Macaca fascicularis: one gene and its partner. The protein of the gene in region 1 purifies or fractionates together with the protein of each later gene. This does not show direct contact. Links are inferred from orthologs where the notes say so. Each region holds a gene or a part of one and is shown on either strand. Other genes may lie near its edges.

Region 1 (4,482 bases):
TTGGCATTTCTTCCTATGCTGTGTCTGAGTGTAAGTAGACATCCACACTATCAGTGGACTCTATGGATGCTTGGACCAGCATCATCATCACCAGAAACTGGAAGGTCTTATTTCCTGAACTAGAAGGCAAGAACCATTTTGTAATTACAGCTTTTGTATTTTGAGCATTCATGTGCTAGATACAGAACCCAACACTCTCTAGGTTATTAGTTCACCTAATCTTTACAACCACTGTATGGAGTAGATAATGTTAAAGATTGAGAAACTGAGGCTCAGGGTTCACCTAACTTGCCCAGTCTAAGGGCTTGGGAGAAGCCCGAACCAGGAATTCCATTCCAGGTCCATCTGACACCTGAAGGCTGAGCTTCTTGCAGAGATCTCGTCCTTCCCATGTCCTACCCTCCTGAGCACAGAGCACAGTGCCTGGCACGTGGTAGATGCTGGCTCAGCCAATGTTTACTGGGGCTGACTCTTATCTCCAAGCCCTCAGGCAGAAAGAGTGCTCAGAGGAGCAGGGAGATTAACTCAAGACCCAAGAATGGGAAAAACCAAGGTGGGACTGGTGATCTCATCCCTCCCTTTAACTTTCTGGGGTAAAGGCGCAAGGAAAGGTCCACCAGATCCTCCTAATTCAGAGCCTGTGCTCTCTGTGCCCTCCCAGCCAGGCCCCACCCAGCCCCACACCCAGCCAGGCCTCTCCTCCAGAAGAGCATTTTCTTACCACTGTTCCACCAGGCTAACCTCAGAGGATGAAACTTCCTGTCCCGCCACCCCCGTGTCCACCCTGACTCTCCAATCACCTTCATGCTTCTGTTCTGGCTCCTGACTCAGCCCCGCCCCAGCACCCGGGTCCCAAGCCTTGTCCTATCACCATCCCTTACCTGGTTTTGGTTCTGAGCCGGTGCGGGCACTGGGTGCTGCTTCTCCTGCACTCGGGGCTTCTCCCTCTGCTGAGCATAGGTGAAGCTGGGAGGTTGAGGGGAGCCTGTGCCAGCGGAAAGAGCTTCGGGATGCCCCAATTTTTGATTTGGCTGTGACCCAGATCCACCTGGGGCTCCAGGACTGAACTTGGAAGCCACGGGAGTAAACTTAGGAGTCACTGGAGAAAACTTAGGGGCTGGAGCTGGCGATGAGGCTGGGGGACCTCGGGGCTGGGTGTTAGCCAAAGACACAGGCTGGGGCTGGGACTGGACATGGAGTTGGACCTGAGGCTTGGGCTGGGGCTGGGGCTGAACATGGAACTGTGTCTGGCTCTGAGCTGGAGCCGGAACCTGGGGCAGAGGCTGGGAGCTGGAAGGGGCCTTCCAAGGAGGCAGGGGTGCTGTGCCCCCAGCTGCAGGCTTAGTACTGGACTTGGAAATGAATGGAGTGGCCACTGGTGGGGGGACATATCCAGATGACACCTGCAAGGGGTGGGAGAGGGAAGAGAGATGCAGACAGGAGGACACCATCCTCCATAGCTCTATCCCCTGTCTCTCTGGCCCTGGGCCCTGCTTTTCCTACTTTGCGGTCCCTTACCCGAGCTTTGAAAGGATCATTCTTGGTCATGTCATCCAGCAGTGAGGACAGAGAGTCGATCTCCAAATCAATACTGCTCACCTTCTCCCTGGGCTAGAGGGTCAGAGGTCAGAGCACCTATTCCATGCCTCCATTCCCCCCACCCCCAAGGCAGAGGTGCAGGGGAGGTAAGAAAGGGCCCTCTTCTCCTCGCCTTGGGGGTGTCCGGTACAGCCGCCCCTCCCAGGCCTCCATACCTGCGGTGGGGACGGTATGGGGGCCTCAGGCCCTCCCTCCTCTTCCAGAGGAGGCGGCGGGGAAGGGAAGATCTCCTCCTCCAGAGGCGCAGGGGGAAATGATTCCTCGATCGGCGGAGGGGGCGGCGGGAAGGCACCTCCCAGAGCACCCTCCGCATCGTCGCCATCCCCGGCGAGGGGAGGTGGAGGCAGGGGAAAGTCTGGGGTAGGAAGGAGAAAGACGTCGCCCGGGGTCCCTCTGCCCCTCACCCAAGCTCCCCTCGGTTTACCGCTCTAACCCCTAACCCAAGAATTCTCTCGAGGGTCCCAGAGCGTGTGGGGACGCAAAGGCGGGGCGCAGGGCGCCCTGGGAGTACCAGGTCAGGAAAGGCCGGGGGCACGGCCGAGGAGTGGTGCAGCTCCCGTTACACTTCGGAAAACGGACCCGGAGGGGAAGATTCGTGCCCCACATTCCCGCCTCCCACCCCCAAGCGGGGGACTTGGAACGGTCCCAGGAGCTCTGGCTCCCAGCCACGAGCTCCACGATGAGGTAAGAACATCTGCTCGGGACAGGGTGGCTGCGCCCAGCCCCCTAGGCAACAACCTTTCCAGACATCCCCAGATTCCCGAAACAGTGCCCCCCCTCCGGCGCCCGCTGGGGTCCAGCCCCCAAGCCCCGCCGCATACCTTCCGGGGGCGGCGGGGGAATCTCGCCCACCCGGCCCATCTGTGCGCGCTGGGCCCCGGGTGCCGGGGGAGGCTCGCTGTCCCCGGGCCGGAAGGGATTCACTTTGGGTTTTGGGGCCACCACAGGGCCGAACTTCTTCTGGGGGGCGTAAAAAGCCGGAGCCGAGACCGAAACGGAGATCGCGGGAGACGGGCGGGGGGCCGCCATGGCCGGGCCGGGCTGCTGGGGTGGGTCGCCGGGTTACGCAGCGCAGAGCCCGGCTCAGGAGCCCCGGGCGGTCCCAGCTCCCCTTGGCGACCCCCATGCGCCCCCTCCCGGCGCCCCGCGCCCCCTCCCCGTGGGGCCGCCCTGCCGCTCCCCGCACCTCACCGCGGGCCGGAGCGTGCGCGCCGCGTCTCGGGTGGCCTCCTCGGCGCCGGGTCCACGGACTCTGCGTCCCAGTCCGGAGCAGCCTCCAGCCGGGCGGGGAGGGACACACGGAAGGAGGAGGGAGGGAGGAGGGAGGGGGCGGGGAGAGAGCGGCGCCCAGACCATACAAGGAGCGGCCCGGAGAGGGGGCGGGGAGAGCGGGGAAGGGCGGACCAGGCAGGAAACTCCCCCAGGAAGGGGCCCTGATCCTGCCTCAGGCCAGAGGCTCCGCCGAGGTCCGCCCGCCGCCACCCCACTCCACTCACTGCCGCCCCCGCCGCCCCGGCCCGGCTCAGACCCCCGCTCCCTGAGCACAGGCCTCTGATGTCATTTCCTGACCTGCCCTCCCCCCATGCCCGACCCGCGGGTGCCCGAGATCTGACTCACAGTCCCCCTCCGGGCTTAGCCGGCGGAGGTGGGGCGGGTGCCGCAGAGGTAGCCACGCAGCCCCTGTGCGCCTCCGGCCCGGCCCAGCGACCTCCTCTCCGGCCTGCAGTTACCCGGTCCCCTCCCGCCACCACCCGCTACCCGACCACCTCCGAGTCCGCCTGGGGTGGCCGAACGTATGGAGCTGGGCTCCAGGGTGCACAAGGATGGGGGATGAGGAGCGGGGCGTTCTCCCTCCCAGCACCCCCCAGCTGACTCTGTGCCCGGAGCGGGTGTGTGAGCTGGAACCTCCAGCATTCTCGGGGATACGAACTTCCAACGCTGGGCAGCCTCTTAAGGCTTCTAGGAATTCGCATCCTCCGCGCCCCCGCCATAGGATCGGTTGCGAGAGGGACCGTTCGGGCCCGCGGGGCCGGGAATGGAGGTGGGAGGGCGGGGCCGAGGCGGCGGCCGCCTGCGGACTGGGGACCCGGGAGGACGGACGCGGACGCGGGCTGCTAGTCTTTTACAGCTCTTCAGCGCCCACCACTACCCACTCCTCTAGAAGACCCCGGGCGACGGTGGGGCTCTTGGGCATTCTGAGACTGCGCTTGGTGGAGCCCCCTACTGGCCCGACCAGATTTCTCAGCCTGCGACTCAGCCCCAGGCTACGCGAAAGAGGCCGGACCCGGGTAATTCTTCTAGTTCTTCTTCTTCTTCTTCTTCTTTTTTTTTAATTGCGCTGGGAAACTTACCCAATCTCGGCCCCAGTTCTTTCCCACTCACTATCTGCAAACTAAGGAGTCATGGCCTTTCGCCCGCTAGTCCAATATGCATCCCTAGGCGCTTCATTTTATCTCCTCTTGTCAGCTTTTACTGCCTCCTGAGGCCTTCCTCTTGTTCACCCTGAGTGTCCAGTCCCTCCAAATCTGACTACACTCTACTGGCAAGGAACACCTGGGCCATGTTTTAGAGATCATCCGAAGACTAACACCAAAAGTTTATGAAGAGAAAGCAGAGGCCGAGCTGGAGATGGACCCGGGTCACACCCAGGTAGAGGCAGGATCTAAACTGAAACTGGTGTCAAATCTTTTTGCCTTGAAGCAACACTGGGCAGGATAGAGCAGAGTGAGGTCCGAGTGTGAAGATCCAGCCTGATGCCCAAACTGACGCCTCTTCATTCTCCTCCGCTCCGTCTGTAAAAGTCAAGGGTTAATCCATCTACTTTATTGCATTATATGGAGAAATAAATGAAATGTCATAGCTGTATGCTGTATATGACTCAGT
Region 2 (3,806 bases), on another chromosome or scaffold:
CCAGGCTGGCCAACATGGTGAAACCCTATCTCACTAAAAATACAAAACTTAGCCAGGTGTGTGACACGTGCCTATAATCCCAGCTGTTCAGGAGGCGGAGGCAGGAGAATCACTGGAACCCGGGAGGTAGAGGTTGCAGTGAACCGAGATCGTGCCACTGCACTCCAGCCTGGGTGACAGAGTGAGACTTAGTTTCAAAACATAAAATAAATAAAAAATTAAGAATTGATATAATTAAAATTTTTATAGTAAAGTTGTAAAAATAGTATAAATAATTTCTATAAATTAATCACGTAGGTTCACCCATCAACATTTTACCAGTATTTGCTTTTTTATTCCTTCTTCGGGTATGTTTCCTTCTTTACACATGCATTTTTTTTTTTTCTTTTGAGACGGAGTTTCACTCTTGTTATCCAGACTGGAGTGCAGTGGCGCGATCTCAGCTCACTGCAATCTCCACCTCCCAGGTTCAAGCGATTCTGCCTCAGCCTCCTGAGTAGCTGGGATCACAGGCGCCAACCACCATGCCCAGCTAATTTTTGTATTTTTAGTAGAGATAGGGTTTCGTGATGTTGACCAGGCTGGTCTTGAAATCCTGACCTCAGGTGATCCACCCGCCTCAGCCTCCCAAAATGCTGGGATTACAGTTGTGAGCCATCGCACCTGGCCTACACATGCACTTTTGTTTGAATGATTTGAGAGTAACTCAGAGACACAAGCTTCTATTTTCCTAAGTACCTCAGTGTGAATTTTATAAGAACAAGGACATTTACCTGCATAACCAGTAATGTAATTATCAAAATCAGGAAAGTTAACATTGATAGAATACTGTAATCTACAAATGTATTAATATTCAAATTTCATCTATAGTCCAATGACGTCTTTAGTGACAGTTTTTTTCATAGTGCAAGATCATTATTGCATTTAGTTCTAATGTCTCTTTGATCTACTTTATGATAATTCCTCAATCTTTCAGAATACTAGCATTTTTGAAGACTGTAGGCAGTTATTTTGCCTGGTATCCTTCAGTTTGGCTTATCTGATTTTTCCTCAAGATTAGATTCAAGTTATGCAGGGGTTGTTTTAGCAGGAATATTATCAAAGCAAAGTTATGCCCTTTTCAGGGCAACACAGGAAGAGACACATGATACTGTTTCATTGCATTCTTGTTGATAGTAGTTTTGATAAACTCTTGTTGGTATATAAAATCAATACTGAAAATCTATTGGTTCTTAAAGCTTACAAATAATATTTAGGTTTTTAAAAATTAATGCTGATGTTTCCTTCTGTTTTAGATGTAATATATTAATAAAAATACGGTTGTCTAACATAGGAGTTGATTATGTCTGTGTATTCTCATTAAGATGGAGGATGCCTCTTTCCCAAGTGGAGGGAATGCTATTGGTGTGAACTCGGCCTCATCTAAAGCAGATACAGGCCGTGGAAATGGACCCCTTCCTTTAGGGGGTAGTGGTTTAATGGAAGAAATGAGTGCCCTGCTGGCCAGGAGGTAAGGAATTTCATTATAATGGACATGCCCAGAATTGAGAGGATTTTAATTTTATTCCGAATACAACTAACTAGATGCACTTCTTTCCTCATAGAGAAGTGGTTTTTATACTGAATCAGATAATATTTTTAAAAATTGGATTTGCCTTCTTTGTAGGAGAAGAATTGCTGAAAAGGGATCAACAGTAGAAACAGAACAGAAAGAGGACAAAGGTGTAAGTTAATAAAGATAGTCTATCTTAAAATATGGTATTCAAGCACAGCCCATTCAGGAAATAGTGTCAGCATTTATTTAATTTGAACTTAATTAGCTTGAACTTATATTTGCTAATTTTTAACTATTTATGCATGTGAAGTGGCTTGTTTTGACTGTTATTTATAAATTTTAAATGGCAGTCTTAGTAAAATGAGTTGAGTATTTGGAGTTGTGGGAAAAGCATTGAAGTTCAAACCTGTGGAGTTTAATTCTGTTCCTTAAATGAGTGAATGACATTTCATTTCCCTTGCATTAATTTAAAAGGAAGGAATTAGCCTAAATTCATATATTTCCCCTAGGAGCTCGATGGTTATTGGCTGTGCCCCTTAAGAGTGTATCCTTCATGCCCTCCTCCCTGATTCAGCTGGGCACACTCTGCTTTGTCTGTGCTATATATTGGCGTGCAACAAATAATATGTTTCCCTTGCTCCATTTGGCTGCCTTTGATACCATTCCTCAAATCTGTCTCTTGTGTCTGGCTTTGTAGCATTGGCTAGTGAAAGTTCTCAGGGAGAACACATATGAGGAAAGGAACTGTGGGGAGGGTTGAAGGGGAGGTGATTGAAAACAGGAGAAGAAAGAAGTCTAAGCTGAAATGAAAGGGAGAGAAGACCGATGAAAGAGAAAGTGGGGAGTGGCAGAAAGAATATTAGAAGTGCATGTGTAAAACACTAAATGTATATAGCAGCAGGGGACTGGTAGATGTGATATTAATATGTATCTGTACATTTAGGAAGATTCAGAGCCTGTAACTTCTAAGGCCTCTTCAACAAGTACACCTGGTAAGTTCAAGATAAATATTTTAACCTTTATAAACTTTCTCTGAAAGTATTAATACTCCCCAGTTAAAAATTCCTCCTTTCCCCATGTTTGGACCAAGTGACTAGACACCAAAATGCCAGAGTTCTTTGTTCACACCTGAAAGCATTAATTAACTTTTTTCCTCCTGGAAGCTGCTGTTACTTTCTTGAGGTTACTTACTAAAACAAGGAAAATATTAATGTACTATTAGATGACGAGAAGTATTTTTCATAATTGTTTTCCTAAAGGTAAAAATAAAGTGAGCATGTTAGTTAGTACTGCAGTCTCCCTCAGAACATTCTCAAATTGAGAAGGGTATCCTAGCCATTCATTTGGGTGATATTGATAATTAAGGGAATAAAGTTTCTGATTTGTAAATTTAAAAAGTCTCCTTAAAATTTTGGGGAAGTGTTCTTGAATTCAGTGAAATTTCTGACATTGAGAATTCTTGAGCATCCAGTAAATCACCTAGATTATTAACAAAGTATATTTCACTAGAGGTACTTGATGAGTGCTGTATCCAAGATGAGAATATGAACTCATTACATATTCACAAGTTATTTCTTCATATTTGATTAAAGACTAAGGGCTGGACTATCCAACTCCTTATCTATTCTGGAATGAAACAACATAAATAAACTTGATGAGTTAATATCTAGAGTGGTCCATAGGAAACCAGTATAGAGAAATGCTTATATTCCTACAGTTTTGATTTAAAGACAACCAACTGCATCTACAGTTACCTTTTTAATTTTCATTGTTTTATTTTTTTGAGATGGGGTCTCACTCTGTTGCCCAGGCTGGAGTGCAATGGTGCGATATTGGCTCACTGCATCCTCTACCTCCTAGGCTCAAGTGATCCTCCCACCTTAGCCCCCAACCCCCCAAGTAGCTGAGGCCCCAGGTGCATAGCACCACTCCTGGCTAATTGTTTGCATTTTTGGTAGAGACAGGGTTTCACCATGTTGCCCAGGCTGGTCTCAAACTCCTGAACTCAAGTGATCCAGCTGTTTCAGTCTCCCAAAGTGCTGGGATTACAGGCATGAGCCACAATGTGCCACCTAGAATTCCCTTTGTTTTTTTTTTTTAAGTACTTCTGTTTTTGTTTTTTGTGATTGTAATCCATCTTTTCACACCCCCACCCCCCATTCCTCATTCTCATTATTAAATAGTGACTCTTCAGTAGACTGATTGCTGTACCATAATTAACATCATGGCTTTGTTTTCCCTCTGAATAGGA

The links.
Region 2: the proteins of ZYX (region 1) and ENAH purify together in Homo sapiens (co-immunoprecipitation; 4 studies listed by BioGRID and IntAct, counting the BioPlex papers as one, with this or other methods). This does not show direct contact. The link is inferred for Macaca fascicularis from reciprocal best matches to the Homo sapiens genes ZYX and ENAH.

What each region holds. Positions count from the first base shown.
Region 1 is NC_088377.1:185,243,690-185,248,171, reverse strand, and holds the start of ZYX (zyxin), read right to left. Parts: upstream 2,856-4,482; 5' UTR 2,786-2,855; intron 2,644-2,785; 5' UTR 2,629-2,643; coding exon 2,421-2,628; intron 1,955-2,420; coding exon 1,755-1,954; intron 1,612-1,754; coding exon 1,519-1,611; intron 1,404-1,518; coding exon 882-1,403; intron 1-881. UniProt on the Homo sapiens protein: Adhesion plaque protein. Binds alpha-actinin and the CRP protein. Important for targeting TES and ENA/VASP family members to focal adhesions and for the formation of actin-rich structures.
Region 2 is NC_088375.1:83,404,192-83,407,997, reverse strand, and holds part of ENAH (protein enabled homolog), read left to right. Parts: intron 1-1,364; coding exon 1,365-1,510; intron 1,511-1,666; coding exon 1,667-1,724; intron 1,725-2,498; coding exon 2,499-2,547; intron 2,548-3,806. UniProt on the Homo sapiens protein: Ena/VASP proteins are actin-associated proteins involved in a range of processes dependent on cytoskeleton remodeling and cell polarity such as axon guidance and lamellipodial and filopodial dynamics in migrating cells.